Lepisosteus oculatus: one gene and its partners. The protein of the gene in region 3 interacts with the protein of the main gene of each other region in a biochemical or structural test. Links are inferred from orthologs where the notes say so. Each region holds a gene or a part of one and is shown on either strand. Other genes may lie near its edges.

The links.
Region 1: the proteins of receptor tyrosine-protein kinase erbB-3 (region 3) and pro-neuregulin-2, membrane-bound isoform form a complex in vitro, tested with the Homo sapiens proteins (2 studies listed by BioGRID). The link is inferred for Lepisosteus oculatus from reciprocal best matches to the Homo sapiens genes ERBB3 and NRG2.
Region 2: the proteins of receptor tyrosine-protein kinase erbB-3 (region 3) and nrg1 form a complex in vitro, tested with the Homo sapiens proteins (8 studies listed by BioGRID and IntAct, with this or other methods). The link is inferred for Lepisosteus oculatus from reciprocal best matches to the Homo sapiens genes ERBB3 and NRG1.
Region 4: the proteins of receptor tyrosine-protein kinase erbB-3 (region 3) and crk form a complex in vitro, tested with the Homo sapiens proteins (2 studies listed by BioGRID and IntAct, with this or other methods). The link is inferred for Lepisosteus oculatus from reciprocal best matches to the Homo sapiens genes ERBB3 and CRK.

Annotation. Positions count from the first base shown.
Region 1 is NC_090706.1:42,064,432-42,072,226, forward strand, and holds the start of pro-neuregulin-2, membrane-bound isoform, read right to left. Parts: upstream 3,001-7,795; 5' UTR 2,209-3,000; coding exon 1,800-2,208; intron 1-1,799. UniProt on the Homo sapiens protein: Direct ligand for ERBB3 and ERBB4 tyrosine kinase receptors. Concomitantly recruits ERBB1 and ERBB2 coreceptors, resulting in ligand-stimulated tyrosine phosphorylation and activation of the ERBB receptors.
Region 2 is NC_090698.1:27,192,625-27,200,514, forward strand, and holds the start of nrg1 (pro-neuregulin-1, membrane-bound isoform), read right to left. Parts: upstream 3,001-7,890; 5' UTR 2,668-3,000; coding exon 2,070-2,667; intron 974-2,069; exon of another isoform or gene 846-973; intron 726-845; exon of another isoform or gene 653-725; intron 1-652. UniProt on the Homo sapiens protein: Direct ligand for ERBB3 and ERBB4 tyrosine kinase receptors. Concomitantly recruits ERBB1 and ERBB2 coreceptors, resulting in ligand-stimulated tyrosine phosphorylation and activation of the ERBB receptors.
Region 3 is NC_090696.1:14,628,488-14,636,113, reverse strand, and holds the start of receptor tyrosine-protein kinase erbB-3, read right to left. Parts: upstream 3,010-7,626; 5' UTR 3,002-3,009; coding exon 2,920-3,001; intron 1-2,919. UniProt on the Homo sapiens protein: Tyrosine-protein kinase that plays an essential role as cell surface receptor for neuregulins.
Region 4 is NC_090721.1:11,081,627-11,089,564, reverse strand, and holds the start of crk (adapter molecule crk), read right to left. Parts: upstream 3,010-7,938; 5' UTR 2,707-3,009; coding exon 2,484-2,706; intron 1-2,483. UniProt on the Homo sapiens protein: Involved in cell branching and adhesion mediated by BCAR1-CRK-RAPGEF1 signaling and activation of RAP1.

The DNA of each region.
Region 1 (7,795 bases), on a different chromosome or scaffold from region 3:
ACAACTGTTTTCATAGGTTATGGTCAATATTTTGTACAATCTCTTCAGTTCAGACATGAAGGTTATTTAACACTGGTATGTATAATTTGTCTTTGGTATTTGCTTCTACAAACATCTTCGACTGTGAGAAATACTCCTTATTCTGATCCTTTGTGAAGTACTATCTTCCAGTAAAGTGCCAGTGTTTCTTAAAAGGACTGCCTTCACCTTTTATCTTTAGTATGACTGTTTCAATAAGTCTCAATTGATGGGAGAGTACATTTGATTAAATGTATGTTTGTATTATTGATAATTGCAAAGGCAAACATGTTTCAGATGATGCGTATTGAATTCATTAGGAATGGTAAAACGCTGCAGTGGAAAACTGTTCAACCTGATAAAAGCTGTTAGAATCGGGGGGAACACAATAAAATTATGGTTTTCGGTCATGGTAATTAAAATCTCAGCAACCTATATTTCTTCATATTAACTGCTAATGTCTGAAGTGATGTACCAGCGAATTGTTTTTCAACTGCAGCGGCCAGGATCCCCCAACCGCTCCCCCTTCATAACAAACGATTACACAAATCTAGAGTTGGTAACATGAACCTTTTAGCATGAAATGTGTGCTACCTTCACCATGATTAATATTAAACGGTAAGGCTTAACTATGCAGCAAACGTTACGTTTTCAACACTGTAGGCACTGGAATGCAGGCATGTTTTTTTTTTTAATCCAGATCAAATAGTCGTATAGTACTTTCTATCACCACATCAACGGTCTAACAATGCTTATATTTGCATAAATCCCTATTATCGGGAATAAGTCAACATCATTTTATTCGTCAGCAACGCAAGACAGCAAATATGACACTGTGACTCTGTTGTTATTACAGATACCCCAAATTAAGTTTAACCACTGATATGACAGCCTTATTCTAGGTATGGGTAACGTCAGGATCAACGAAAGGCACAGAGTTCATCAGTACATTCTCCAACAAGTACATTAACCACAAATCTTCCACACTACTTTATCATTTTAATACAACAGTCTTGCTGCGTCTTCGTTTACGATACGCATAGCAGTACAATATTAGGAAAATAGCTGCTGCAACTTCGTTTACAATAGTACCTACTATAGCAGCATAGTATCAACTCTCATAGTTAAGACGATTTTAGGTAATTAAAAAAAAAGATTATGCAAAATTACCGAAACAAAATCATCAGCCTCTAGCGTGCAGAAACACAGAAGACACAGCGAGGGGATCACAAACACATTGCCCTGCAAATATTGGAAAGGTCTTCAAAGATGTAACTGCATAGCCTGCTCCGTTCAATGGGAGCTGCTACAGCATACTGCATCACCCAAAATATATTAACCATTTTTTCCGCACAAACAGCCCTTGAGTGCACGTTTTCTGTTGCAAGGAAAATGCTACAAAAGACAATTGCTAAAATATTTATCCTAAAACTTGCAGCTACAATTCTCAATTTCTCCTTAATCATAGATTAAATAATTGTGATAACACACGTGTTTAGAATTACCCTTCATCTATCTATATAATAGATATGTAATGTTACATAAACCCAAAGATGTTAACATTTCTAATTATATCAACACTGCAGAGACGCCCCACAAACACCCATCTGTTACTTACAGTTTAACTAATAATTTAACCTTATTAGGAAAACCAGTGCAGTGGTTTAACCACACGGAAGCCTTCAATAGGCTATTAAACGCAATTCAACGTGTCCACGGGCAATATCAATACAGCAAACAGAAACACGGGGAGCTTTCACTACAGAGAAGAATAAACTTACCGCAGTCTTCACACAAGATCCTCCCAACATCTTTTTTTAGATTCTTCCCGCTGGTGTCTAAGGGAGCGAACGATGCCTTGAATACTAACGGCTCGTCGGTTGGGTCCATGAAAAAGATGTATTTGTGGTTCTTTTTCACTTTGGTGCACGGAGCCTCCGATCCAAATTCCCCGATGGTCACAAGCTGATCCCTCTCTAGACCCCCACTGTTGAGGGGCCACACGTCCAGTACTTTGACATTCACACTGTAGGGCTCCTTGGAGACATTAACAGGTACCGACTGCACCTTGCCTTCAATGACCACTGCTGATTTGTAAGCCTGGTCCTGCAAAGAATTCAAACTCGGGGAGTAGCAGGCGAAGGAGACCCCGATGACCAGCATGGAGAAATGTACTGAATCAAGCCTCATGCCGTCTGCTTTGGCTCTGTGGTCGCTGCTCGGGCTGCTGCAGTGCTCTCGTTGCTGTTGGGTGATGATGATGGAGTTGAGTTGAAGTAGGAGACTGCAAATAGGCTCCAGTAGCACGGCTGAGCAGCAGACCTTGCGTAAGTGTCCATGCCATTTGGATATGCTGCTTTTTCAAGAGTTTGCAATGGGGAAACACCAGCTAGGAACCGGAAACGGCGTAATGATACTGGATTAAAATCCCTGTCACTGCATTCTGCTAGAAAGTAATTCTGAAACCCAGGGTTTCCATTTATTTGCGATTTATTGAGACAGCCGCTCACAGTGCAATAGCTTTGGCGGACAACCGCCGGGTTCCCTTTGCCCAGAGAATTCAATCGTGCTAGCAAGCTTTTGGGTCGGGTATTTAAACACGTCTCCCACCTTCACTGTAAAGAAAGGCTGCGATAAAGGCTGTCCTTTAGATATCTGCTTGTTGAACGGATACCTACCTGCATGTTTTTTCCCCAGAAAAGAAATTACCTAAGGTAGGCTATTTTGTTTCGCCGTTGTAAAATAAAATACCTTCTGTATTTGTTCCCCTCAAGAACGCGCCTGACGTGTCAGGCAACACCTGCCTGCACAGTTTCTTCTGCTTGAACCTAAAACACAATAGATTATTTAATCGGAATTACACCGTGGAAATGCAATATAACTATTACTTTATTTAAAAACCCAAGCGTGACTTATCATGGCAAAAATAAAGGCGTACAAAATTTCACCAGAAGCATAATCCTTACGGCACAGTCTTACAAGACAAAACAATACTGAGTATCCGCAATAAAAAAAAATCGCACATGTACTGCACAGCAGTGCTGGACCGGCTGAGAAAATGCAGATGAAACATTTCTGTGGCTTCGTTTCTGAAAGTCTGTTTTCAATGTGTTTTGCGGCTCATTCCATTATTATATCATAAATTGCATTCAGGTCACATCCACTGCTCAGCTTCTGCTAAATAGACAGCAGGACGTCAGTGCTGCATTACCTCCATAATACTGAAAAGAACTATGTGGGGCTTCACACGAGGTTTAATAACTGAAAAGGTGATCGAGATAAGGCTATGGCTCATGAAATTGTTATTTTCGTATTTTATAGACACGTTCGTTTCTGTATATTTCTCTAAAAGGTATATTATATATCTTATATATGTAATGATGTATTGTGAAAACATATTTTAGAATTTCAACTCATACTGTACGTCAACATAAAAGTCGTATTCATAAGGTAGATATTTTGAGCAGTGTTTTTGTTTTTTTAATATCATTACTGTCCGAACGGTTCAATGTGGAAAACTGAGGAACCGTCAGTCGCGCAATGCTTTACGCAGAGCGACACCTGCTGTTTCAAACGGCTCACCCCTGCAGGTGAGCACGGCTTCAAAGGGCCTCGGTCTCGGCAAACCTCTCCATCTCATTCCTCGACAAGCTCTTACACAGGTAACGCAGTTCGGAAAAATTAACCCTTTCTATATGTCCAACGTACTAAATTAAAAGAATTACTGAACGGTTCCTTAAAAAGTATTGTAGGCTCAAAAGGTGTAAGGCATCACATTCAATAAATACTGTTTCAGCAGTACTTGAACGTTTTATTGTTTTCTATAAATCGTCCACTTTCTTGATTTTCTTTTTTTTTTGGGGGGGGGGTATGTCTGTATGTTTCTTATATTTGTTTATTCATATCTCTTTTTTATTTTTTGTTCTACATCATATGATAAATTTACAGTCAAATCAAAACTTGAGCTTGTTTGCTCCACTATTTCTTTTTCCTTTTTCATTTTACTTCATGTGGCTTTTTCAGTGCACGGAACAGAATTGCAGAGCTCGAACCAGCTGAACAATTGCAAAACCACTTCATGATTTAAGCTCCAGAAGTTCCAAAGGAGAGGAACGTTGTATATGGAAAAAAAAATGTATTTGATGTTGAATCCTCCATTGGAAGATGGATGGCCAAATATTTTAAAATGTATGATTCATAAATTATGTAGAACTCCCAGAGCACCGTGAAAGCCCAGAGTGTGTAGTGAAGTGCATAATAATAAAGTCTTTAACAGTAACACAACTAAATATGTGCATTTATTATGAATTCTTTAAGGATACATTCCTCAATACATTGTGGTTGTCCTCCTTCCTTGGAACCTCAGTGACTCGCGTACACTTCACACCCTCCCAGTCCCAGTGTCAGTCTCCCACAGACAGGCATCATTTTGATTTGGAACAAGTAATAGGTTTATTCCATGCTGAAAAAAGAAGAAGGAAAACACAATGTTTCAGCCATGGAACCTTCTTCAGGTGTGAGAAAGACAGGGCAGTAAGCAAAGGTGATGTAGCAGGAGAACAAAAGCTGGGAGAGAGGAGGAGCGAGGGGCGGGAGCAGGGGACAGAAAGAGAGGCCAATCAAGAGGTGTGAAGTCAGGATAGAATAGAGAGAATTTAGAAGAAAAGTAGTCTGTCATTAATTGAAGGGGGAAGATGTGATCCTAGCTGCAGTTTTGGTTTTTGAAGTCTTTCTGATGTATGAGTTCGGAAGACTGTCTTTGAGAACACAGACGGAAAGATTAGAGTGGTCATGGCCGTCAGAGGTGAAATGAGAGACAATGGGCTTGGAGAGATCTTTAATCTTCACAACCGTGACATGTTCTCTGAAGTGGTCTCCGAGTCTCCTTCCTGTTTCTCCAATGTAGATGGCTGGGCATTTATTGCAAGATATACAGTAAATAAGGTTGCTGGAGGTACAAGATGTCATCTGGGTGATCCAGAATTGTCCTGAGGGGCCTTTTAATGAGTGTGGTGTTAGATGTGTACTTGCAAGTGATACAGCGAGCTCTGTTGCACAGGAATGTGCCTGGTGTGGATGGTTGCTGAGGGCGGTTAAGGGAGCTGTGAACAAGAAGGTTGCGCAGATTAGGTGCTCGGCGATATCAAATGATGGGGCGGTCAGAAAAGAGGGCCCCAATGGAGGGATCATCCTGTAGGATGTAAAAGTTGTCATTAATAGTCCTGAGGATAGGAAGTGTGTTGGAGTTCTAGGGAAGCACCATACAAATGCGATTATTATGGATGGAGTTCCTGATTGAGTTGTTTGAGTACATTTTGAGGGCTTTGTTCTGGAAGTCAATGTCATCGCTGCATAATCGTCGTAGCCAAAGGAACTTTGAAAAAGGGAGAGAATTTTTAGTGTGTTTGGGGTGAAATGAGCTATACAGGAGATAAAGGAACAACCTGGAATAAACCTATTACTTGTTCCTTTGCAACCTACGCATACTGACGCAGCTACCCATCTGAACTTATACAGGAGATAGCTGTGTGAATCTGTGGGTTTGTAATAGACTGAAGTGGAGAGTCGGGGGTAGTTGATGGAGAAGTTGATGTCTAGAAATGGAAGAGTAGTGTAGATATGTTAACTGTATATTTCAGGGACAGGTGGAAGTTGGTGAAATGATGCAAAAAGCGCTCAAGCTGGTTGTTAGAGCATGTGGCGGCACTGTCGCAGTCATCAATGTATCACTTGTAGAGATCAGGGACATAGCCAGTGTAGGAAGCGAAGAAGCGTTCTTCTACCCAGCCAACAAAAATATAGCATAGCTGGGTCCCATTCTGGTGCCTATGGCAACTCCACTTACCTGTTGGTAAAAAAGGTTATTGTCAGGAACAGTTCTTTCCGGGCCCTATGCGGACGACACGATCCGGAAGGTGAAGAAACAATAGGGAAAAATATCATGCAGGAGTGGGTCAGGAGACAGGGGGGCATGTCCGAGGTGAGCAGGTGTCCAGGGGAAGTGAGTCCGGGGCGAACAATCCAAGCATAAATCCAAAAGGGAAATCCAAAATGGGAGCAGAGTCCAAGACCAGGGGATCCATCCAAAGTAATTAAAAACCAGAACTGGGTCGGGACCGGCGGGACAGGGAATCAGGAACAGGAAACTAAAACCATAACGGAGCCAGATGCAGCAGGACCCCGGGCTCTCACGATGCGGAAATTAATGTGAAGCCCCGAGCAGTCGCCTGCATCTGGCTTTAAAAGTGGAACTAAAGAGGGGCTGGAATAAGGAACAGGTGTGGGGAATGGGACAGAACGAGGAAGGGCTGGAGTGCCCTTAAGAGGAGGAGTAACGATCGTGACATTTATTGAATGAGAATGCATTCAGTGTGAGAACCAATTCTGCAAGACGTACCGGGGTGTGGGTGGGTGGATCAAGTGCTGTGCGTTTGTCCAGCGTGTGCTTGAGGGCTGTAAGACCATCGTTATGGGGAATGATGGTGTAAAGAGATGTGATGTCCATGGTACAAAATGTAGCATTCGGGTCCCTGAAATTGAAAATCATTAAAAAGTTGGAGCGCATGGTTGGTGTCCTTGATGTATGAGGGAAGACCTTCAACCAGCAGTCTCATGATAATTTTGATTTGCTTAATCATAATTTTGATTTGCTGACATTTGCTATATCTGGGCGAAAATGTTTACTAATGGTACTGTAGCAGAAAATCTGTGTTTCTAGATAAGCGGCTGCCTTTAATGGTCAACACATATCACAGAACAAAGGTTGAGCCCTGTCACACTGATGCCTCTGGTTTAGTCGTCTTGATCTATAACCTTAGCAGACTGAGAGTCCCCCAGGGCTGATGACCAACTCAGTAAAGGTTCAGGTGTGTCACGGTAGTCCACACCCACAGCTTTAGGAACAATAAAATACCGTTTGTTAAGTTAAAGAAATGGTAAAAGTCAACTAAAATGATCATAGTGCCCTACTGTTTAATAGTATAATGAAATAAAGTTCATCTTTAATCAAACATTAAAAAGTATTCTCAGTACTATGAGGTAAGTGAATGGAAAGCAATTCAATGGCTGACATTTTATCTTGTATGAATTCCTTGGAACCTGCAAAGCTTAAAGTTTATGTTTTTGTCGACTGATCTTTTTACACCTCTTCTCTTTTTTTGAATTGTTACTTATTGCAGCCTGAAAATGCTCCTTGCTTATGCATATTTTTAAGCAGCATTTACGGCTGTTATGTATTCTATTTAACTCATAAATAGTTTTCTGTAATCTGGGGTGTGGTGAAAGGGCATTGGCAGTGGACACTTGGACCAGATACCCACTTTTTTCTTTTGATTAATATGAATTCATTAAGATTTTTTTTGGCACAGGGGCTGAAGTAATGTGACTGGTGCCAAGAGTCATGACTTATCACAGTCTGACAGTGCACCTTGCTTATGCATATTCCTTAAGTGGTATTATAAATTCATCATCATGTTGCTTGTACTGGTCAAACAAAATTTCAAACCATTTCTGGAGATACTGGTAATTTATACAGCTGTTCTATGTATGTGCTCATTCTATTTTACTCATTCATAGTTTTCTGTATTCTGGGACGTGATGGAGGGAGACACTTAAGGCAGTTATCCTTATTTTCCTCATATTATTAAAGCTTAATAAAAATTAATTAATTCAACATTTTTCAGGACTTGGGCTGAAGTAATGTGACCAATGTGACAACAAATTGGATTTAGGTGGTGTTGATGTGTAAAAGTATGTTGGAATGTTTGGCATTAAATGA
Region 2 (7,890 bases), on a different chromosome or scaffold from region 3:
CAGTATATGGGTGTGACCATAAAACCTTACAAAGAAAATATACGACACTCCTCAAAGCAACACCACACACAATAAAAGAAATGACTTTTCTTTAACCTACAGTTGTCTTCGGTTTGATATCAGATTTGCATGTTTATTGGAAGGTTAGCCTGCTATCAGCTGTGAATTGCAGATATGCCGAGTTAAACTGCTCTTGAAATTGCTTTATCACATCTTTTTGTGCGCCCATCAAAATCATACTGTTATCACAAAACTCTCCTTTAGAAACGTTTTAGAACAATTAATCCACTCTAATGGTACCTAATTTGATAGATAAGACTATAATTGAAGTGCAGAATTAATCTTGTTTGATTTAATGAATTAGTATTTAAACAGAACTAAAATGAGTGTTTAAATAAAATATATCCTTTGTACATTCAATTTTGGATTTTAAAACATTGTAAATACCTTATGAACAGTTATAATTTTAAGTTTTTGTGATAGCGAAAGAACATGTTAACGTTTTAATCTTAATCTTCACATCTATATTTAGTATATTTATAGTTCAGTTATTCTGTAGTTTCACTATGTTAAGCTCTTACAATATAAAAATAAAACATGACGCACTGCACATGACCAGTTACGTAACATTAACTACATGTTTAATGTCCGCATTCATTCGTGTTTTTGTCTTGTTTCACCGCGGTGATTTTTTGAACACTTTTCCACAGCCAGTCTCAATAAAGGTATCGGAAGATTGGTACAGTAGCGCTAGCTATTAATAGCTACAAGCTATCGCATGAGGATTTCAGGCTATTATAAATTAATAACACGGACTCTGTAACAACGATTTCTCTTTTTCCCAGGAAACACCCATCAACAACCGAAACGGGCATCCCCTGTCAATCAAAGTCTTCAGCACCACGGAAAGTGGAGAGCTCCCTCAGTCCTCACCGCTCAAACAGGATGTGAAGCGTTCACACAGTGCGTTCAGGTAATACAATGCCCTAGCTTTTACAGTTTTCAGATGCTTTACGTTGGACATTTTATTAATTACATATACATACCGTAGGCAAAATACATTTTTATCCGCAATCCTCTCGATGATAAAAAGAGACATGTTATACTCCTTAAAAAGGCTTCAGCTTTTAGTTGTCAGAGATTTGAGATGGTAGCAATAGAATTCAGAGGTTTCGAAAAGAGCAAGAAATACGCATGAAGGCTCCAAACAGACCTCCAAATACCCTGCTCATAATAATCGCTTGCGCTTAAAGGTGTATATACAACAATTTATTTTGCGCTGAACCCTAATCATGGGTTAGAAAACAAGATAAGATACGGGTATTAAGTACAGTGCTTCATTAAAAATATACTAATTTTATACAAAAAATAAAAATGAAGGACTAAAATGTGAGTAAAAAGTAATGCAAGCTTTTCAGGCGACAGCGACTTTATCCAACATCATCATAAATCCTCCACAGAACTATGATAGACCGCCATGCGTCACAGACTACAACTCATATCTAAGCTTTCTAATCGTGCCTTCTAACACAAAAGTACAGAATCACAAATCGATTACTATTGTGATTACTATTACTATCACTATCGTGGTATTGATTTGGATACGGCATTTTAAGGTATAAGCCAAACTTACTTTGTAATTAATTGTTTTAATCAAGAAGTAGGCAACTAATTGAAATCATCCTTCCACAGCTGTAGATCGATAGCCGGATTGTTCGAAAACAATGCAATAAAATCCCTGAACAGTCTTCACACAGACTGTACACGTTATCAGAGCAAGAAATGTGTAAATAAGTCTTTCAACTCCTCCTATCAAACGCATTTCTATATTATTCTAGAGTCCAGCACTCTGGCGGTTTAATGATTTCAAACTGACAATCTGAATCAATTAAAACAACGTCTATTGAGACTGCTGAACATAAAGGATTAAAACTTCTTAAAAGTTTTAGACACCGCTCCAGGTCGAACGCAGAAGGATGTTGTTTCTACTACTTGATCTGTGAGCTCCACGTGTCTACCGTTCGCATAGTGGAAAAGTTGGATCAACTAATAGGCAGTTCAGCACTTACCCCATCCTCCACAAAGAACCTTGTTGATATCTTTTTTCACGTTCCGTCCGGTCTCGACGGGTGGAAAAGCTGCTTTAAATACAGAGGTGTCATTTGTAGGCTCCATAAAGAAAATATACCTGCTGTCTTTCTTCAGCGTGAGACAGTATTCTCCTACATTCCAGATGACGGATATAATGGAATCTTTCTCCAGACCTCCGGCTTTCACTGCCCAGACCTGATGGACCCTCACCTTCAGCAGGTACGGCTCCAAGCCTGTCGTCCTGTTGGATAACAACTCTTCCGTCGCGTCGCCGTTTTCTTCCATTTCTTGCCCCTGGGTTTCGTTGCCTTTCGCCCTCGCTCGTTCCCGAAGCAAACGCTCTTTCTCCTCGCGATTAATGTCGTTCTCCAGTCCCTCTTCCTGTACTTTCCCTTCAACGACCACTCCTGAGCGGTGCGCCAGCTCCTGCACCGAGTCCACAGTGGGAGTGGGAGAGAAATAGCAAGCGAGGCTGCTTGAGGGAACACCATGCAGAGAGAAAGCGAACATTACAAAAATCCCGCAAAGAAAAGGAATTGTGAATGGGCCGTGCAGTGCAGCAGGATGGGTTCGCATTGTGAATGTGCGAATGAAAAGTGCAAGTGAGGGGGGCTGGATGAGGTGAAAGCTGGTGAAAATTAAAAATGCAGGTTTTCCGAAGAGGGCAGTCTGCGCTCAATGGTTAAAACAAGTGTGCTGCCGCTGAAGCCGCAGTTGCTGCCGCCGGAGACCAGGGAGGCGGAGTTGCTGAATAGAAAAGTCTTTTAAAGCCATGTGTGTGAGGATTCCCTCTTCTCTACGATTAATTATACATTCGTTTGCGTGTCTCCGGACCTATCTGGCGATAGTCAGCGACAGCAAGATTATAGACTTTGAGATGCACGCGTTTTAATCTAAATGTGTCTCTTACGTTTTTCGACGGTATTAAAAACGATAGGATATATTCAACTTTAATTTAAAGCTCACCGAAATTAATACGCTTCAGATCCAGCGGGACCACTAAGAAGTTTAACGCCAGTGTTAATTTACTCTGGGGGCTTTTAGCCGTGTACTTTCAGAATTCGTCATCCATCCAGATTGAGCTTTATAGCAGGTGTTAATGGGGTTTAATAGGCAGTGATTTTGCTCCTTGTTTAAAGAGCAAGCCCTTCAATACAAAATGACTGCCATTAGTATAAATCATCGGAAGGCAATAAACATACAGTATCAGTTGAAGTAAAACTCAAATCCCCCAAGAATCTGTTGTTTTAATGCAACTATGCGACTACAAAAATATGCTTTTTCTATATATATTCCTTTTTATATAAATATAAATACATATAATTCTTTCATCTTAAATATTGCCATTCAATAAAGAATATCAACTTCCACACTTGTTAACCACTCATTAGCTGCTCCAAAAGTTACACTAAAAGAAAGAAACTTAATTTAGAAATCGTTCTTTAATAATAACAATTTTCCTCAGTATTTACATGTATACTAACAACAAACTTCAAGTACATCTTAAAAATGTTTAGAAACAAGGGGAGGCCATTTTACCTTTCTGTCTTATTTGGGTTTTAGTAGATAATTGATCGAATTGTCTCAACCAAGCTGGGAATTTATATAGAAGACGGGCCATTGATACAGTCGCATAGCCATATAAGTAACAGTACCTTGCTTGTCGTAAGACGTATTGCTGCCAAAGGCGTTTCCACCGAGTATTGATTCAGGGGGTGAATACTTAAAAGTTCTTTCACCACCCCCCCCCCCCCCCAAATTTATGGTTTTAACATTCAAGTTTTTAATTTAAAATATTCTTTCAAAAGTGTGGATACAATCGAATTACATAGAAAGTGATCAAAATGGGATATACTGTAACTAGAAGGGGGTGGATACTAGCTAAGGGACTATTTGAAACTCACTTGTATATCACTTTCCCATGCCATGTGACCCAATTTGTCATGTTTTCTTTCATACAATGGCTCAAAATATGGAGCTGCCAAAGATATACCGCCCAGATACTATATACACTGTTGAAAAACATGCTGATTAATAATTGCTTACCCTTATATAGTGCTTTTCTGGACACTCCACTCAAAGCGCTTTACAGGTAATGGGGACTCCCCTCCACCACAATCAATGTGGAGTGTCCACCTGGATGATGCGAGGGCACCCATAGTGTACCAGAACGCTCACCACACATCAGCTATTAGTGGGGAGGAGAGCAGAGTAATGCAGCCAATTCATAGATGGGGATTATTAGGAGGCCATGATTGGTAAGGGCCAATGAGAATTTTGGCCAGGACGCCAGGGTTACACCCCTACTCTTTTCGAGAAACTCCCTGGAATTTTTGATGATCACAGAGAGTAAGGAGCTAGGTTTTATGTCTCATCTGAAGGACGGCGCCTGTTTACAGTATAGCATCCCCCTCACTATACTGGGGCATTAGGACCCACATGAACCTCTGGGTGATTGCCCCCTGCTGGCCCCACTAACACATCTTCCAGCAGCAACCTTAGTTTTTCCCAGGAAGTCTCCATCCAGGTACCGACCAGGTTCACACCTGCTTAGCTTCAGTGGGTTGCCAGTTGTGAGTTGCAGAGTTATATGGCTGCTGTTTGTTTCTTTGTTTTCATTGAGTAAGAATGATTCTCAAGCAAAACATTAATTCCCAAATAGAATGTTTACAAATACTGTAGCTCATTTGATTAATAAAAGCTGGTTGATCCAAGGGTATTGATCATGTCATTTCTGAAAAGACGTGACAGAATTGTCTTCAACAGTACCGCTACTGCAGGTAACTTGTTCCACACTTCTGTCAAGAAGTGCATCCTAGAAAGCCGAAAGCCTGGTTTAAAGTAGGAACCACCTTCCTCTTCTTAGTTTCAATAATAAAAATGATTACATGAATTTCATTGATAATTTCTGGGAATATTTCCTTGGTGATCCTGCAGCTGGAAACTCTGGGTCACTGGCAGTGAAACCAGTAAGGGTGAGTAATGGCAGGGGGTCCTCTGGGAACAAGTCCCATGTTCAGTGGAGGAGGAAGATCTCTATGGCTGTTCTCTCACTAAGGTTCTCAGTCACCCAACTGTGGATCAAGGTGCCGCTTGTAGAGCTTGTATCCCAGCCGAACTGGGATGCTTGTACGCAGTTGACTCCTTAGCACAAGGATCCCAGTACTACGCATGGTTCTGAAGGTGGAAACCAACTTGCGGCTGCTGCCCTGGCTCCTCTTAAGAAAATAAGCCCACACAACAGCTCCCCATGAGGAAAGTCTTTTCAATGATGCCCCAGTGCAATGTGGTACAGTATGTCTGTTCCTGGCCACAAGAAGAAATGCATGCTCCCTAAGATGGGTAATCATCACCACTGACCTATTGCACCAGGGTACCAACTAGGACCAGCTGAAGAGGAGAACAGGACTGCCCTTTGCATGCTGCTCGCTTGTCACTCCTTCAAGCCCTCTACATCTTTGAGGTGGTAGATTCAATGGTGGTAATGTTGCAGCTGACCCAGATAGCCCATTTTCTGGTCCATTTTATTTTTAACCCTAAAAATAAAAGCTTGTAGAATCTGGGGAAAGGAATAGACATTCAGATATTCTTCTCTTGTCTGATGTTGAATTTCTAAGTTGTATGCCTTCAGCATCTCCAGCCAACTCTCCAGCTGCCCTGCTGAATGCCTGAAATTCATGAATTGTTGCATGGTCAGAATATGGTCAAAGCAGTGAATGAAATGTGATCCACAGAGGTACAGATGGATGTTGACACCACCTCAACCAGCAGCCCCCATAATGTATATTTCTAGCATAATCATTAGCAAACAGTTCCTCAATGCGTCACAGATAGGATAGGACAGCTCCCAGTTATCAGCATATTCAGGCACCTTTGGGATATTAAAGATTTCCTCAAATAAAGAAAAATATATTAAAAAACAAATCCAGATATGTATAGAGAGAGCATGCTGTTATTCTGATTTTTTGAATTCCTGAATTTCAGCATTATACAGCTTGCTTGTAGATTGTGCCCAAAATGTGCAGGCTTTATATTGTCCCAGAAAGGGATGAAAATTTAATTATGGTGGGAAAAAAATCCAGGTTTGTTTAACATATTTAATAACAGAAAACTGCTTTGGGTTTTCCACTGTCCATTACAGGTGACAGCAGTAAAAAGATTGGGAGTGTGAATTTCTCCACCCGTGTAATAAATACCTTTACTGCTAAATACACTCTGACATTCTTTCTGATACAAGACTAGACATTAATAGAATTGTTTGGACTCAGCCACTTCCAGCTAACCACATTTTACTCTGCATTTGTATTGTTCTGAGAAACACAAGAATGTGATCTGCTTGTGATAGCTCATTCATGACAGCTGTGGTCACTGTATTTGAAAACTTCTGAGCGAAAGAATAAAAAAACTCTTTCAGTCGCTTTGATTCTCATCTGTGTGTGCAATTGATATTCTGATCAAGTGCAAAATGCAATATCATAGAGACAACAAAAAAGTCATCCTCAAATTATTATGACAGCATTTCCCTTTGGCAATCATAGAACTGAAAATAATGTTACTCTATCTAACAATACAATTTACTGCATGATAAATAAGATGGTAAATTGCGTTGTTTAATGTTTGGTGTGTTTTTGTCTGTGCATTAAGTTTTAGTGTCTTATAGAACAGAAAAGAGGTTTATTTGTAAATTAGTCTAGTTTTAATCCAGTGTTTCATAACAGATGGAATTGAAGCAAGCCACAAACTACAAATATATTTATCTTCTTTTGTAATATAATGTAATATGCATGGCAGATATTTAATTAACATGACCATGTGTCTATACATGTTCAGATACTCTGAGTGAACTGAAATATTATTGAAATTAAAATGAGTGAAATAAACAGATGTAAACAGCATTGGATAATGTGCTGCAAATGGCACCGATAGGAAAATGTGTTTTCTATGTGATAAGTGTACTTTCTATTTAGTATTTAGCAAATAAGGTTAAATTTCTATGTTAAGGGTAAGATGATATGGCATATCATATTATTTTTGTCATAGAAAACATAAGTGGGAACATTTTAATAAAATCTAACTCTGTGTTCTAAATTTAGTCTTCAGAATTCTGTCAATATATTTTAAGTTGATAATTAATAGTTAAGTAAAAATAAACCGTTACAGAATAGCTGTACAATATAATATAAACCGGCTGTGTAAGGATGATGTTCAGGTAACAATAGACAAATTCTGGAGGGTGATATCATTGTACAATAATTCATCCTTTTGCTAACACGCTAATGTCATTTACATGTTGAGATTTTAATAACGTCAAACTAGTTTGCCAAATCTCAAAGCAGTATGATGCAACATGTTCTCTGACAGTGGGTAAAAAAGTCATTAAATGGAACAGTGTGAAAGGAAGACAAGTGTTCAAGAATAACTGAACTGGACATAGGTTTGTAGGTTAGATTCATTAAATTGGTTTAATCAGGGTATGAGTGCCAACCCCACTAGAGAGTAAAGACCTCTATATACAGTAGCTATGAAGTTTAAATTCAAGACAGGTCACCGCTCAAGAGTATGAGAAGATTGTGATTTGATTATCATTTTTAATTATCAGTCAGCTGTAATGTAAACACCGCATGACTAGACCATAATGTACAGTATAAGTGTTTCTGAGTGAACCTTTCATTTTCCTTTCACCACTTTGGGAAGTGTTGATGAAGCAATCAGAAACTTTTCATAGCAGTTTTCTTCATCATGTCTTCAGTCCTGTTTTACTAAGGTGTGCTGTTTTGCATGGTAAATTGAACTGCTGAA
Region 3 (7,626 bases):
CTCTCCTGACACTGGCTCTGCTGTACAGCAGGAGGGGATTCTGCAGCCAGCAGAACTTCAGCACATAAGCCCTGCAGTAAAGTTTTACAGCAGGCGGCTATAAGATTTTTATGACAGGAATAACAGCCCTGTCACCAGATGAAGAGCCAGGCATGAACAATCTCAGCCTCTCACTCCAAGGTACTCCCAGAGTACCCCTGAGTACCCACTGCACCCCTCTGGACAAGGTCCCGAGAGGCAGAGAGGCCGAGGTTTCAGTGTTCATATTCCTCCAACACACAGATTCATAAACTACATTATTAAAAAGCAGAAGGATAGAAAACCATCAGTCCCTGTTTCCCAATAATGCTCTGAGCAGGTGTGAATGTGGGTCAACACACACACGGCAATCGTAATGCGTTGCCACCATCCTTACTCGGACTAAAACACAGGCTGTCTCTCCCAGGGCAGACGGTGGTCAGTATGGGGGTGTCTCTCCTTTCTGCTGGAGAGAGAGGGGTGATGCTGCCTGCCCCAGGGCACTCTGGGAAGGCTCAGCAAGGGAGGTGTCGTGTAGGCAGTCGGACCCCAGATTCCGCGCCCCGTCTCGGACCCACCTCTGCTAGGACTGGCCATCCTAGCACAGCCTAACACATCCAAACACCACACCTGCCCTGCTGAACCTTCCCAGAGTGCCCCGGGGCAGCCAGCGTCACCCCTCTCTCGGTAGTAGGAGGGAGAGGCGCCCCCATACTGACCACTGTCTGCAGTGGTCACTGATATCTGGGGCCCTGTTTGACCTGTGACCTCCTCTCCTGAGGCTAGGCCTCTCGCGGTGGCAGCTCAGCCAGGAGATTTTGGTGTGGTTCGGACAACATTCCCAGTGAGGGACAGGACTTGAACCCCGACTCCCGCACAGGCTCGTGGGGGGGCTGCTCAGACGCTGCGAGGCCGTTGCTGGGAGTTGTCGGACCGGAAACTCGGCCAGGCTGAGGGAGTGGCTACAGTCGATTGCTGTGGCTTCATTAATCTGCTGCTGCCCCCACCCAGGCTGAGTCACGCAGAAGGGCCCCAGATAGTCTGCCCTCCACACTGCCTGCGAGTTCGCCGGGAACCAGACACACCTTCCGTCTCTGCAGGCTGTGAAGAGTGAAGGGGCCTGGGGACTGGCTGGGCCATCGGCCCCTCAGCACAGGCAGGAGGCCTGAGAAGGCCAGCAAGAATGTGCCCTGCAGGTGCAGCAGAGCAAACAGGCTGAGCCAGGGAACAGGTCTGTCACTGCTGAGCACACACACTGATACACACACTCACTCTGATAGATAGACACACACAGTGATACACACACTCACTCTGATAGATAGACACACACAGTGATACACACGCTCACTGATAGACACACACAGTGATACACACACTCACTCTGATAGATAGACACACACAGTGATAGACACACACTCACTCTGATAGACACACACACTGATACACACACTCACTCTGATAGATAGACACACACACTGATACACACACTCACTCTGATAGATAGACACACTGATACACACTCACTGATACACACTCACTCTGATAGACACACTCTCTCTGATAGACACATTCACTGATAGACACACACACTGATACACAAACTCACTCTGATAGACACACACACTCACTCTGATACACACACTCACTGATACACACACACACTGATAGACACTCTCTCTGATAGATAGACACACACACACTGATAGACACTCTCTCTGATAGACACACACTGATAGACACTCTCTCTGGTAGACACTCTCTCTGATAGACACTCTCTCTGGTAGACACTCTCTCTGGTAGACACTCTCTCTGGTAGACAAACTCACTCTGATAGACACACACGCGGATACACAAACTCACTCTGATAGACACACTCACTCTGATACACACACTCACTCTGATAGACACACAGATAAACACACTCTTATAGACACACACATTGATACACACACTCACTCTGATAGACACACACACTGATACACACACTCACTCTGATAGACACACAGATAAACACTCTTACAGACACACACATTGATACACACACTCACTCTGATAGACACACACAATGATAAACACACACACATACTGATGAACCACACACAGTAACACACTGATAAACACACAGACACACCGATGGGCTGAAATCCAGACAGCTCTCACACACGATAGCTCCAGAGGTTTACCGAGCGAGTGGAAGGATCCGTCACGAGTTCTCCGAGACCCATGTTCATGTGGACACACGGGCCCCCGGTTCTCTATCGTCTGAGAGTGGGGTGTCCCTCCGTCCGTCAGCCCTTCTGTCAGTGACCCCAGTGTCAGTGACCTCTCAGTGGGTTTACGTGTACAAAGGCCACGGCTGTCAGACCTCCTCGCATACCGAGTCAGACAGAGGTCCCCCCGAGGACGCGGGGCGGGCAGTGACGGCTCAGGAGCTCCCGGGGAACTGTCAAACCCGGGGCTCAAGGGAACCCCCCGGCAGCGCCTCGTCAGCCTGTCCCGCAGCCCGGCTGCCTCACCCGGCACAACACAGAGCACACACCAAGCCAGCCGGGCCCGCTGACGACTCACGGACTTTACCGGTCGCCATTCCCGGAACATTATCAGCCACGACGGGAACGGCAGAGCACCCACCTCCGGGGAACACGCGTCCTTCTTTTTTTGCTAGAAAGGTCAAGTGTTGTGTCACTGAAGAGAGATTTTGACGCCTGGCTCTGTCCCCCGAGTCATTCCCCTTTGCGGGAGGGGGCCAGGTCACCCCCGGGAGGGGGCGGCAGGTGGATGCGGACCGCACGAGGAAGTGTGGGTTCCAGCGCTACTAAATCACAGAGCCGGCACGCGGAGCGGAGCGCAGAGCAGCGGGGGGGGGGGGCACGAGGACGTGCGGGACGGCAGGTCTCTTACCTTCGTGGGACTGCGGGCGAGCGGGCTGTCCGGTCCACAGCAGCGCCAGGCACACTGCGAGCACCTGCCGGCAGAGCGCCATCCGCCCGGACTGGACTGGACTGGACTGCAGCGGAGTGGCCGGGCCGGGCGGGTCAGGGGTGCATGTCGAGCCGGAACAGACGCTGTGTCCCGACTCCCTCTTCCCCTCTCCCGTCCCTTCTAGATCCCAGGCTCGCAAAGTGCGTTCCCAGACCGAATTCCAAGAGTTATCCGCTTTTAGCTTCCTGGTGTATTCTTTGTTCCCCGTAGTATCTATGTGCCCGTCTCCAGGTGTGCCTGCCTCGCAGCCTGAGAGAACAGCGGAAAACCCTCAATCCACCTGAACTGGTTTCGGTTCCAGACTGACGGCGGCAGGCAGGTTCTCTCACGTGTGTCACCTGGTAACCCCAGACTGACAGGGGTGAGAAACAGCAGCAGCAGCAACAACAACAACAGATCCGAGTGCGGGCAGTAATAGTAACGACGGACTTCCCGGTGACTCCTCGGCGCGGCGGTCCGAGGCGATCCGCCACAAGCTGATCCAGAAAGTTGTGAAGCGCGACACCCCCGCTCCACTCCCTTAGTATAAAACAGCGCAGCCGGGGCGCTGATTGGACGGGCCGCTGCCCCGAGCCGCCAATCGGCACCAGCGTCGTGGGAGCGCTGCGAATCGTGGCTGAGGCGGCGGGCAGGGTCCGTCGGGCTGTGAGGCTACAAAACAAAGGTGTAGGCGATTTAAAATATATATATATATGTCACAGGGAGTAATCAAATGAAGTGTCTTTTTGTTGTTGTTTTTTTTTTGGAAATGACGGCAAAAGTCATCACTCTCGGGTTCCCTTGATTCAAGATTCAAGATTAGTATTTGCCAGATACAACAAGTGGATTGGAACGCTTACTCGTTCAGCTGTGGAGGAAAAACCAATAGGCAGAAATGACAAACACGGACAATACATTGAGAAAATAGACGTTATAATACAGCCAAGGCAGGACATAGCGCAAACAGCGCAGTACCTTAAAGTGCAGGTGCTACTTTGAGGTGTTTAAGATGCGGACTGCTTGGGGGGGAGGAAACTGTTTTTTGAATATATTGGTCAGTGTTCTGATACTGCGATACCTCCTACCGGAACCCAGGGGTGAAAACAGACCGTGGCCAGGGTGAACTGGGTGCCGAAGTATAGCTCGAGCCCGGCTGCGGTCGAGATATATCCGGTCCCAGGGATTTTCTGCGCGGACCTCTCAGCCCTCTGTATGGCTTTTCTGTCCTGTACTGTGGCTCCACCGTACCACACCGCAATACCACCGGCCAGGACACTCTGAACCGTATTAGGGTAGAAATTGGTGAGGGTAGTCTTGCTCATCCCCCACTCCCGGAACTGTTTCGGGACGTGAAGGCGCTGGTGCGCTTTAGTGAGGATGGCAGCAAAAGAGCAAAATGACCTCTCCGACCAGGTCAGTGGCCGAGAGTGGGATGTCTCTGCGCCCGCCGGTCCCGCCAGCCAGACGCCGCTCCGCTCAAACACACCGGGTCGCAGTGATACCCTTATTTTCAGGGTAATAGACCCGGGCCCGTAGCGCCTGCTCCGAAAGGGCAGAGCTTAGGGACCCTCCGGGGGGCGATGGGCACTTTGAGTGAAGTTGCGTGTTTCCACCAATGGGACATCTTTCTGTCGTGCTGCTTTTATGTGAGGGGATATTTATATCGACTCGGAGGGGCCGCTGGTCTCCGTGAGAGAACCATTGTGCCTTTCTCCCGCTAGCCGCGACTTAATCACCCCGGCTTTGATGGGGACAGATTGTCCGGCAACAACGGCCGCATTGTCTCGGCGCGCCGGGCCTCTGATCTGCAGCCGGACGCGCCTCTCGTCAGGGAGAGAGGAGACTCGGCTCTGCTCTCATCCGCCTCCCTTCCTGCAGGCCGGGTTGAGAAAAATCCCTATTTCGGTAAAAGTCGGGTGTAAAAGGCAACAGGTCTCTGGATGGAAGGAGCTCCTTTATAACCGGGGAATTTCTGGCGCATCTTAGAAACCCGGTAAAGCGCATATTAGGGTCTTTAACGGGTCCTGGGCGTTAGGGAATCTTCCGGGTTTTATTTCAAACTACTCAAATATTTAAATAAATCTGCTGTTGGCTTAATTAGCCCAAATGTCGACGACCTGTAGGTTGAAGACAGACGCCTACAGATAGTGAAGAGCCCAGTTACAGGGCTGCACAGTCAGAGCCCTCTAAACCCCAGATTCGTGGTCAAAGCCTTCTCAAAAGAGACGCTCAGCAAACAAGGCCCTATCAGAACAGGCTGTTCAAAGTGTCTGTGTGTTTAAAAGGGTCAGACCCACCCTGTAAGAAAACTGCAGGCAATGGAGTGAGGCCACAGCTCAGGTGTGCACTCGGATTCGAATTCCAAGGGTGTTCTGGGCCTGGCCCTTGCATTGCTGTTGGATGCTGGGAAGGCAATAACTAGCAAAACATTCACAGCCACTCACAACAGAACATTCCTGTTACTGTGGAGAGGCTCTCTGTTCCTCCTCCAGTGGGACTGGGAGCTGTTCTGATTCTGGCAGGGGTGGGAATTCAGGGATTAGGATTGTTGTTTGTGGGGAAGAATATTTGTCTAATCTCAGAATACTACCTGTTTCACATTCAGTGAGCTGAGCACTCTCACTCTGTGTCACACCCTGCTAGCTGTGCACTCACTCTCTGTCTCACTCTGCTAGCTGTGGACTCCCTGCTAGCTGTGCACTCACTCTGTCTCACTCTGCTAGCTGTTCACTCACTCTCTGTCCCACTCTCTCAGTGTGCTAGCTGTGCACTTCTTTGTCTCACAGTCTGCTAGCTATGCACTGCTCTGTCTCACTCTCTGCTAGCCGTGCACTCCTGTCTCACTCTGCTAGCTGTGGACTCCCTGCTAGCTGTGCACTCACTGTCTCACTCTCTGTCTGCTAGCTGTGCACTCCGTTGTCTCACTCTCAGTCTGCTAGCTATGCACTCCTGTCTCACTCTCTGCTAGCCGTGCACTCACTCTGTCTCACTCTCTGCTAGCTGTACACTCACTCTGTCTCACTCTCTGTCTCTCTCTGCTAGTTGTGCACTCACTTTGTCTCACTCTCTGTCTCACTCTGTATGTACAGGAATCTGGACTCAGACGGACTAAACAATGCGGAACAGAGATCATCAACACGCCCCTCCTCGCTGTTCCCGAGGCGCACAAACAGGACTCATGTTTTTCATAGCGGGGAGTGTTGCTCTCATTGTTTCGCGTGTTTCTAAGCCGCAGAACTGGTTCAAAACTCGAAATTCCGGCAGGTCCGACAGCCTGTAGTAATGATTGAAGCGTCGTGAAAAACAGGCCCCGAATGGGCCGCACTGATTTACCTGCTCAAAGCTGTAATTTTCAGATCACCGAATTCGCCAGATCGAGATAATTATAAGGGAAAGACAAAACAGATTCAGTAAGTCAGCGCTCAAACACACACAAAGGCCCACACAATGGAAGCTGCAGAGAAACGGTGGAGAACAGGGAACAGAATACACCATTCAAGACTGATGCCAGCTCACTCGCTCGGGGTGCTACCCCTACTGAAGAACTGACTAATTTTCAGAGACCTTACAAGCGACCCTGCCGGCGATTTCCGAGCGCAGAGAAGACGTTTAATCAAGGATGCCCTCTTGTGGTCTCCATTAGGTACTGCACATAACTAGCACTGGAAACGCTGTAGTCGATTAACCTAGCTTGATACACTGTGCTTGTCTTATTTCACGTGACCTTCAACTGTTTGTTAAACTTTTTATTTAACAATTAAAGAATTTACAAATACAACATGTACAATACAAAGTAGTGCAAGTTCATTTTATATAATAACTCATTAAACTTATTAACTAATTACTTAATTAACTATTAATTAACCAATCAATGAATTAATTATATTCTTATGTAATATTATTTCTATTAATTTATATAACGTTATGCCAGCATTGATGGGAGGTTACAGTACATATAATCAGCAAAAATAAAACGCTGTTTCATCTTCTTTCACAGAACAAAATCAAGTCACAATGGGACCTCAGCCCAATCCAGGCCTGCCAGTATTAGCCAAACCTTTCTGCTTCTAACCTAAAAGAAAAGATGATCTTTTCCATTATATTTCCCTTATAGAATTATCTCCTTCACAGCACTGTTGGGAGTTCTTTAATAAACCACTTTCTAGTGATAGTGTTCTTACTAGCAGCTAAAATAATTCCTAGTATATATCCATCCTTTAATTCCATGTAGTCAGAAGTAAAAGTACCAAAATACATAACAGATAATTCAAAGGGTATTTGTAGATTTACTATATTAGTAAGCACAAAATACAGTATATGAATTTCCAATATTGTTGTTTTTTCATGAATGACCAGAATGTGTTTGAATAAGTTGCAACTTGTTCTCCACTTAACATCCAACATCGTGAATAGCTTCCTTTTTGTTTTGCTGGAATTTTAAGACTATTAAAAAACCGAATCTAATGTTTTCAACAGCAATTTCTCCAAACTTGTAAACTGGTGGAGCTTAGTTGAAATCTGTTCTTCCACTGTTCTGCGGAAACTGTCTTATCATTTTCTTTTTCCCCACTATATTTTAATATAATTAATTTAATCGTTTTTCATACCTTCAATGTTATTATAGTTTTGAGATTATTTTCTTCTGGT
Region 4 (7,938 bases), on a different chromosome or scaffold from region 3:
AGGAGGGGAGGAAATCCGGGATTTAAATGGAAGGGATGAATCACCAGAGAACGAGGCAGCAGGAACGCTGCTCTGTCAGGAACACACAGCCTGCCGAGAGACCACTGACGCCCTGAGCCCCCGAGAGCCAAACGAGGGGACTCCCTGTGCGAAATAAGACACGCGGTCAAGCAAAGACAATGGGAGTATTTTTGCTCCTCCATTACCACTGGGATACCCAGCGAGGCCGGCTTACACCCAGGCACTTTAATCCATACACTCGCAGGGCTGAGTCCTGAGCCAGCCCGGATAACAGCGCAGGCCTCACACTGCTAACTTCTCCGATCCCCCATCCAACAGGACACGGCGCGGGCTCAGACGAGACAATTCTAGATGATCAAAGAGTTCTTTAGCCGTTTTCCCTACACAACCAGCGCGCTGTCAGCAGGGTGAGCGCACAGGGACGAGCCGACAGCCACCATCAGATATCAGGCGTCTGCAGTTCCTCAATGGGGAGGAAAAGCCGTCTATAAAGAACTGAGGGGGATGACAGAGACTGCTGGGCTTTTCTTCATTGCTGTAAGTCGGCAGTTAAGAGTCAGGCAGCTCTTCCACTTCACTGACTCGCTGGCCAGCCTCCCAGAGGCAGCACAGGCTGGACAGTCACTGGTGCCAGACCTGCAGCGCCAAGCAGCACTACAGCTGAAGAAAATGCCAAAATCTCTGATCAAGGATCAGTTTCACCAGTAAAAAAAGGGCACGGCTTGCATGCACACGTCCTGTTGGGAGTGCTGGGACAAGCATCGCCCCCTGCTGAATCCCGATGACAGCTTGCTCCCGTAAAACAGCCCCAACGCCCAGCGTCGCTGCACCCCAGCACTGGCAGAGACCCGCAGGATACAGCGCCCGCGCTCGCTGATCCCCGGGCAACGCGGGGGGCTGCAGGGCTCGTGTGCGTCCGCTCATCGGGCCCGGAGGAGGCGTGGCTCAGCCGGGCGGGGAGCGGTCCGCCACCCGGGCGCGCTGGCAGCCCCCACAAGCCGCCATCGCGGCCCCTCTCTCCTGGCACACACCTCCACCCCGTTCCCACTCCGCCTCCCGGATTGAGAAACTCCCCGGTTTAATGATTCATCCGAAGGCAAACACACAAAGCAGGCCCTGGAGAGACAGGGCGCTCCAGCCCAGGCACAATCAGCTCTCCTGATCCCAGCCAGCGAGAGCCCACCTTCCGCACTCGGGACTCTGCCCGGGCACATCGCTGGGCAGGACCGAGCAACTGAGCCTGGGGCTGGTTCTGCTGGCATCGGACGAACGATCACTCCGCTGTTTGCAAACTGCACTCGTCCTTCCTGGGTCATTAAGCCCGATTCTCCTGCATTGCACGAGCCACATTAACACCGCTGCGAAAGCACCAGTTTTTAAAGAGAGATATTTCTGCAATGCTGGAAAAAACAGCTTCACTTTTGCCCCATGAGAACATCAGCTCCTCTCTGCCCCATGTCAGGCAATTTCAGCCAGGCTCACTGTGAAGGAGCCCATGTGCAGCCGGGCTGCAGCGCTCAAGACTTTCCACTGACCCCACAGGGACCCAGCCAGCAGCTCCCAGAGACAATGTCTTCGCTAGTCGGACTTCTGCTCCACCAGCACCCATCATCATACCACCTTACAAAGTCAAGCGCCACCAAACACGGGCTCAGCCTTGGCTCACCTTAACTTCAGGAGGATCTCACTGCAAACACAAGTTTGGATACGTCTCTTCACAAAACTGAACGACTTCTGTTACCAGGTTTCGCTTTCCCATCCAGACGCACCCATCAGCATAAAGTGTTTGATGTGAAACGACGGCAATGCAGTAACCCTCCAGATCAACAAACATTAAGCAGCGGCGTACTAAGACGCCGGTATTCTGGGAGACCCGGTGAAGCCACGTTCAGGTCCTTCAACGGGGATGAAGAGAAAACGGTTATGCTGAGACTTGTCAATACGAGTCAGCGCACACACGACCAGTCCGATCCGGGTGCAACCCTTAACGCGACGGGTGCGATTCCGCAGGGCGCGACGCCAGCGCACAGGACCCTCGACCTTCGGGGGCTCCCCAAGGTGAGCGGCCCTGGGGGGTCTCCCCAAAGAAGAGGGCTTTAGAGGAATCGACGCTCGGGGTTCCCTCCTCCCGCGCCCCGCGGACGGTGACGCCGCTGAGCCCGGGCGCCATGTGCGGGGTTTCACGCCCAGCTCCCCGGTGCCCCACCGGGCTCCTGTCACGCCGGGGGTACAACGCGTGTAGGGGGTAGAAACAAGGCCTCGCGTCAGTACACGGTTTCATCTTCATGTCCATAAGGCACCCAAGACGCCTCTAACGCGACTCCGGGACTGGAGAGCATCTCCTCACACGGTCACCGGGACCCGCGGGAATCGCGCATCCTCACCCCGGCTCCACCTGCGGCCAGCCCCCGCCCCCGCCCGAGAGGGGCACCGGGACCGAGCCCCCTGCCCTGCCCGCTTACCTGTGCCCGACTGTCTGTTGTTGCAGCTGATGCTGTTGATGATATAGTGGGAGACTTTTGAATTCTCCGAGACGGACAGCACGTAGTCCCCAGGGCTGGTGATCGAGTCCCTCACCAGGAACACGCCGTGCCTCTGCCCCTGCAGCAGGGACACCGCCTCCTGCCGGCTCAGCCTCCCCCAGTACCAGCTCACCCGGTCCTCGGAGTCAAAATTCCCGGCCATGGCTGCCACTACTACACCGCGGCTATCTCGGGGCCTACCCTTCACCTCTCCTTGTCCGCAAGCAGGAGCCAACTCATACAAAAAACTTTAACTTGAGGCGAATCCGCTTCAGAAAATGCACGACATCCGCGCCGCGCTGCCCGGAAAAAAACACCAGATCCGAAGGGCCAGATCCTCCGCCGACACAAAAACGGGCAATTCGGCCAGTCTCGCCAAAGATTTACCCCAAAGTTTTCCGATTCAAATCTCAGAAGTTCTCCCAAGAAACTCCAGGAAAAAAAAAACTGAAATGGCGGATCTGGGATAAAAATTGACCTTACTCACCGGATATGAGGTCAGCGGTTAGTCACGGGAACAACGGACGCGGAGGACACGCCCGACCATGATGATGAGGTCAAGACTCGCTCGACTCATTCATCCCACTCGCTAAACAAAACATGAAACAGAAAAACCCTTTGACCCTTTCTTTGAACTCTTTCTTTTACCCTACTAAACATTTTCAGCTATCATAATTATTTATATTTTTTCATGTTTGAAGTTCGTCCAATTTTCCAGAAAAAAGACCCCGTTTTGAATTTTAGTTTTAATGACTGAAGTTCTACATCACTCCCCCAATCCAACAAGAAAGTGTTGCCTTCTCTCCTTAGAAAGCGGAGTGTCGTTACCTCTGCCGTTATCTCTGAGTCACAGTTTAATCCTAGGAGGGGAGAAGATTCCAGTCATCCAGCCTCGGTACAGCCTGCAACCCTGTCCCAGTCGTGATTAATGCTTAGAAACGGAGAAGTTGCCCGCAGAGCGAGATTCTGTTCTTGATGTGTCATTGTAGTGACAAACAGTAGATTAATAACAACAGGAGTGCAATCTCTATAGAGATGTTGTAGTGCAGCAACTGAAATACACAAAGCGTTTCATTATAAAATTGGGATAAATTCCCAGTATTACAGGAAATAACGCAGAATTAATTTAAATTCAATACAGGTACACTTGAACACTTTTAAAACGCTTGTAAAATATGGGTACTTGTATTAAGATTGTAGCCATAATATCCATTACTCGACAGTCACACAGTTGAATCTTAAATACTAAACCGGAGGAGATTTATAATGCCCGTTTGTGTTCTGCGTGAACTTTTCCACACTTGTAGCTGCTGTGTGTCTAATTTTGGTTGGAGTTCGTCTGAGAGCTGTACAAGGTGACTCATGTCTGACGCACGAGAAAAATCCGTCCGATCCCACCGCGATCTACGCTGCTACAGCTGTGGGGTCTCAGTTACAGTCTTACTGGGAGAGTTTCTCGTCTCTCGTCCCTCTCAAGATAAATCAATTCCTGGGGACTGGGATGAGGAAAGAGTCCACCACTTACCACACACTTTAACAAATTGTGGCTCCGTTTGTAGACAGTTTAATCTGAACAAGCCCCGCTGCCTTAGTTGTACTGCAGGAGCAATCACAGATCAGACTAATAATTAACAATTCCACGGGACAGACGTAATCGCCTTCCACATCGTCCGCGATCAGCTTCTTTAAGATATGTTTCCACACTGATCCAGGTCACAGTGTCCTCTTGGTCCCATTCCAGATGGGCTCTGAACTAATTTAACTGGACGAAGGGCCTTCAGAAATACTGCAACAGCAAACTACAACAAGCTGTGTTCATTATATTCTGTCATTTTGCGCCGCTGGAAGGATTAAGACTGGGCGATGAGCACTTTAGAGCCTGCAGTAACAATAACAAGAAAAATCGAGACATTGTACAGAACAAAGAAAGTACCTGTATGTGATCACCTGCTGTATTACGTAATGAGTCCTTTAATGGAGTAGAACAGGGATCGAATCTTACATCACTGCAGAACACGTATGATTTAGAGGGAGTTCAGGTGGGTAACTGCGTCAGCATGCGTAGGTTGCAAAGGAAAAAGTAAAAGGTTTATTCCATGCTGAAAAGAGAAGAAAAAAAAACACAACATTTTGGCTGTGGAGCCTTCTTTGGGTGTAAGCCAAAGAAGGCTTAAAGAAGGCTCCACAGCCGAAACGTTGTTTTTTTTCTTCTCTTTTCAGCATGGAATAAAGCTATTACCTGTTCCTGATTTAGAGGTAGTCAGATGAAAGATAAGATAAGATCACTTAATTGGCCATATACAATTTCTTGCATTAGGAATTTGTCTTTTCTCATACCCCAGCTTGCTCTCCATGAGACACACAGACAGGGAGAGAGAAGCTGGGGGTCAGAGCGCAGGGTCGGGGATTTATAAGGCGCCCCTGGACCAGCTGGGGTTAATGCCTGTTCTTACGAGCAGCATGAACACAAAATACATAAAATTCCCCCAGGCTTCTGTGCGTCTCGTTAAACCCCAGTAATTAGATTGCACCCCTAAATACAAGCATTGTGTGAGGTCCAAACTCCGTCCAAGGGTATGGGCTGTACAGAATCATATATTGTGAAATACTCTACTCCACACTGGAGGTGAACTCATTGTATTCAAGCACCTTCATTGTAAAATAACAACAACAACAATAATAATAATAATAATAATAATAATAATAATAATAATAATTGTTTACACTTATATAGCTCTTTTCTGGACAGTCCACTCAAAGCGCTTTACAGGTAATGGGGATCCCCTCCACCACCACCAGTGTGCAGCCCCACCTGGATGATGCGACGGCAGCCATAGTGCGCCAGAACGCTCCCCACACACCAGCTATCAGTGGGGAGGAGAGCAGAGTAATGTAGCCAACAAGATAGGAAAAGACGGATGATTTCTGATACATTTAAGTGTTGAACTACACAACTAACAGATGAACTGCATTCAATTGCTGTGTTTTGTTGGGAAAAATCGACAACATTAATTTTGAGCCAACTGCGTAATCACGCGAAATAAGGACTTGGGAACAAAGGAAACAACAACACGACCTCAAAAGCCAAATGACAACACGTGTAATGCAGACACAGTACCACCAGGTGGTACTCTCGAGCTACGGAAAGAGGACCCCACTGGCGCTGGGGACGTCATCACTTGCGTGAAGAAAATTCCATTTTTGTTGTGTAAAAAAAACAATAAGAAGTCGAACGAGGCACAGGGCAGACCAGGCGCCACTTTCTACATGTGTACTTAGAGACTACAAGGCCGTGAGATCATTTATAAAGGGATAATGGATTTGAGTCTTCATTATTACAAAGACAACAACTTGATGAATAATTGAATATGGTCTTTTCTGTGTGTCACAGCTTGGGAAAATCACAGCCTGTTACTGGCTAAGTATCACTGTATGACTGTATAACTGTACGCACTGCTTGCACATCACAGCAGCCGCCACACTGTACCATCACAACGGGCGGAGTGCTGGCTCTGTGGCTACACCTATGGCTGGAAGGTTGCTGGTTCAAATCCTGTGGCTGGCAGAGGAATCCTACTGTGTGGGGCCCCTGAGCAAGGCCCTTAACCCCAGCTGCTCTAGGGGTGCTGTATAATGGCTGACCCTGTGCTCTGACCCCAAGCTTCTCTCTCCCTGTTTGTGTGTCTCATGGAGAGCTAGCTGGGGTGTGTGAAAAGACAAATTCCTAATGCAAGAAATTGTATAGGGCTAATAAAGTGATCTGATCTGCTCACTGCAGATGTGGGGCTGTAGAATCTATTGCTCTCTGGTGCTCATCAGCCTGATAGCTGTGCTGCTGGCGATGCAGTGTGGAACAGCAGACTGTCCAGGGACTGGTCACGTGGTCCTTCTTACTGGGATGAGCAGGAATCACAGGGTGGGGCAGCCCCTGCCTCAGGAGCCCCCCCTCTGGGATGAAGTCATTTCCTTTTCTGCTCTCTGCTCCACCAGTAATCCCCGTGGCGGGGGGGCTGCTGGGACAAGAAGAGCAAAGTGACTCAAAAGGAGAGCTAGAACAGCCATGGACTGGCACCGTGCTGTATTGTCTGTGTCTGGTCCTGCAGTGTTGTCTGTGTCTGGCCCTGCAGTGTTGTCTGTTCCTATCCTTGCTGTATTGTCTGTGTCTGGCCCTGCAGTGTTGTCTGTTCCTATCCTTGCAGTGTTGTCTTAAGCCAGCAGCCAGATCACCCTTCAACTCTCAACTGGCAGCCCACTGAAGCTCAGCAGGTGTGAGCCTGGACAGAACCTGGGTGGGAGACCTCCTGGGAAAAAAAAGGTTGCTGCTGGAAGAGGTGTTAGTGGGGCCAGCAGGGGGCGCTCACCCTGTGGTCCATGGGGGTCCTAATGCCCCAGTATAGGGATGGGGACATTATACTGTAAACAGGCGCCGTCCTTCGGATGAGACGTAAAACCGAGGTCCTGACCCTCAGTGGTCATTAAAAATCCCAGGGTGTTTCTTGAAAAGAGTAGGGGTGTAACCCCGGCGTCCTGGCCAAATTTCCCATTGGCCCTTACCAATCATGGCCTCCTAATAATCCCCATCTATGAATAGATGCTCTCCTCCCCACTGAGAGCTGGTGTGTGGGGAGAGGACTGGTGCATCATCCAGGTGGGGCTGCACATTGGTGGTGGTGGAGGGGATCCCCATTACCTGTAAAGCGCTTTGAGTGGAGTGTCCAGAAAAGCGCTATATAAGTGTAAGCAATTATTATTATTGTCTGTGTCTGGCCCCGCAGTGTTGCCTGTTCCTATCCTTGCAGTGTTGTCTGTGCAGCACTGCACAGGTACAGCTGAAGGGAAGGGGATCTGTAGAGCTGTGTCTGCACCTGAGACACCTGGGTCTGGCTTTCTCAGTGCTCACCCTGATCTGAAAGGGTTTTCCTGCAGTTACTGTTTCAGTCTCTAGTAGATCTTTTCTTATGCACAGACTCCAGTTTGAAGTAATTTCATCACCAGGGTATGATTGAATAGGGTTTGCCCGAGCATCTACAACTTTAGTGAAAAAAACAGAACAGGTATCAAAACCTAAATTAAAGTATAATTTGCAAAAATTGCAGGCACATCTAGTTTTCTTTTTAGGAACTTGAGTGACAGCTCCAAGTCTTTATTATTGTATTTGCCTTGTCTTTCTATAGCCCTGATCCTCTGATCACAATGGATTGGTCCAGTCTGCTCCTGGCAGTGCTGTGTTCGTGGAGCAAATATCAGGAGCTGGTGCCTGCTCAGGTGTGTGCTCTGTGATTTGTCTCAGCTGGGGTGCCTTCATCAGCAATGGTCATGCTGATACATGAAGAAAGTACTGTATTCTTTTTCTTCCAGACTTACTCCTTCTTGAAAGGTTCTGTTGAAATATGTG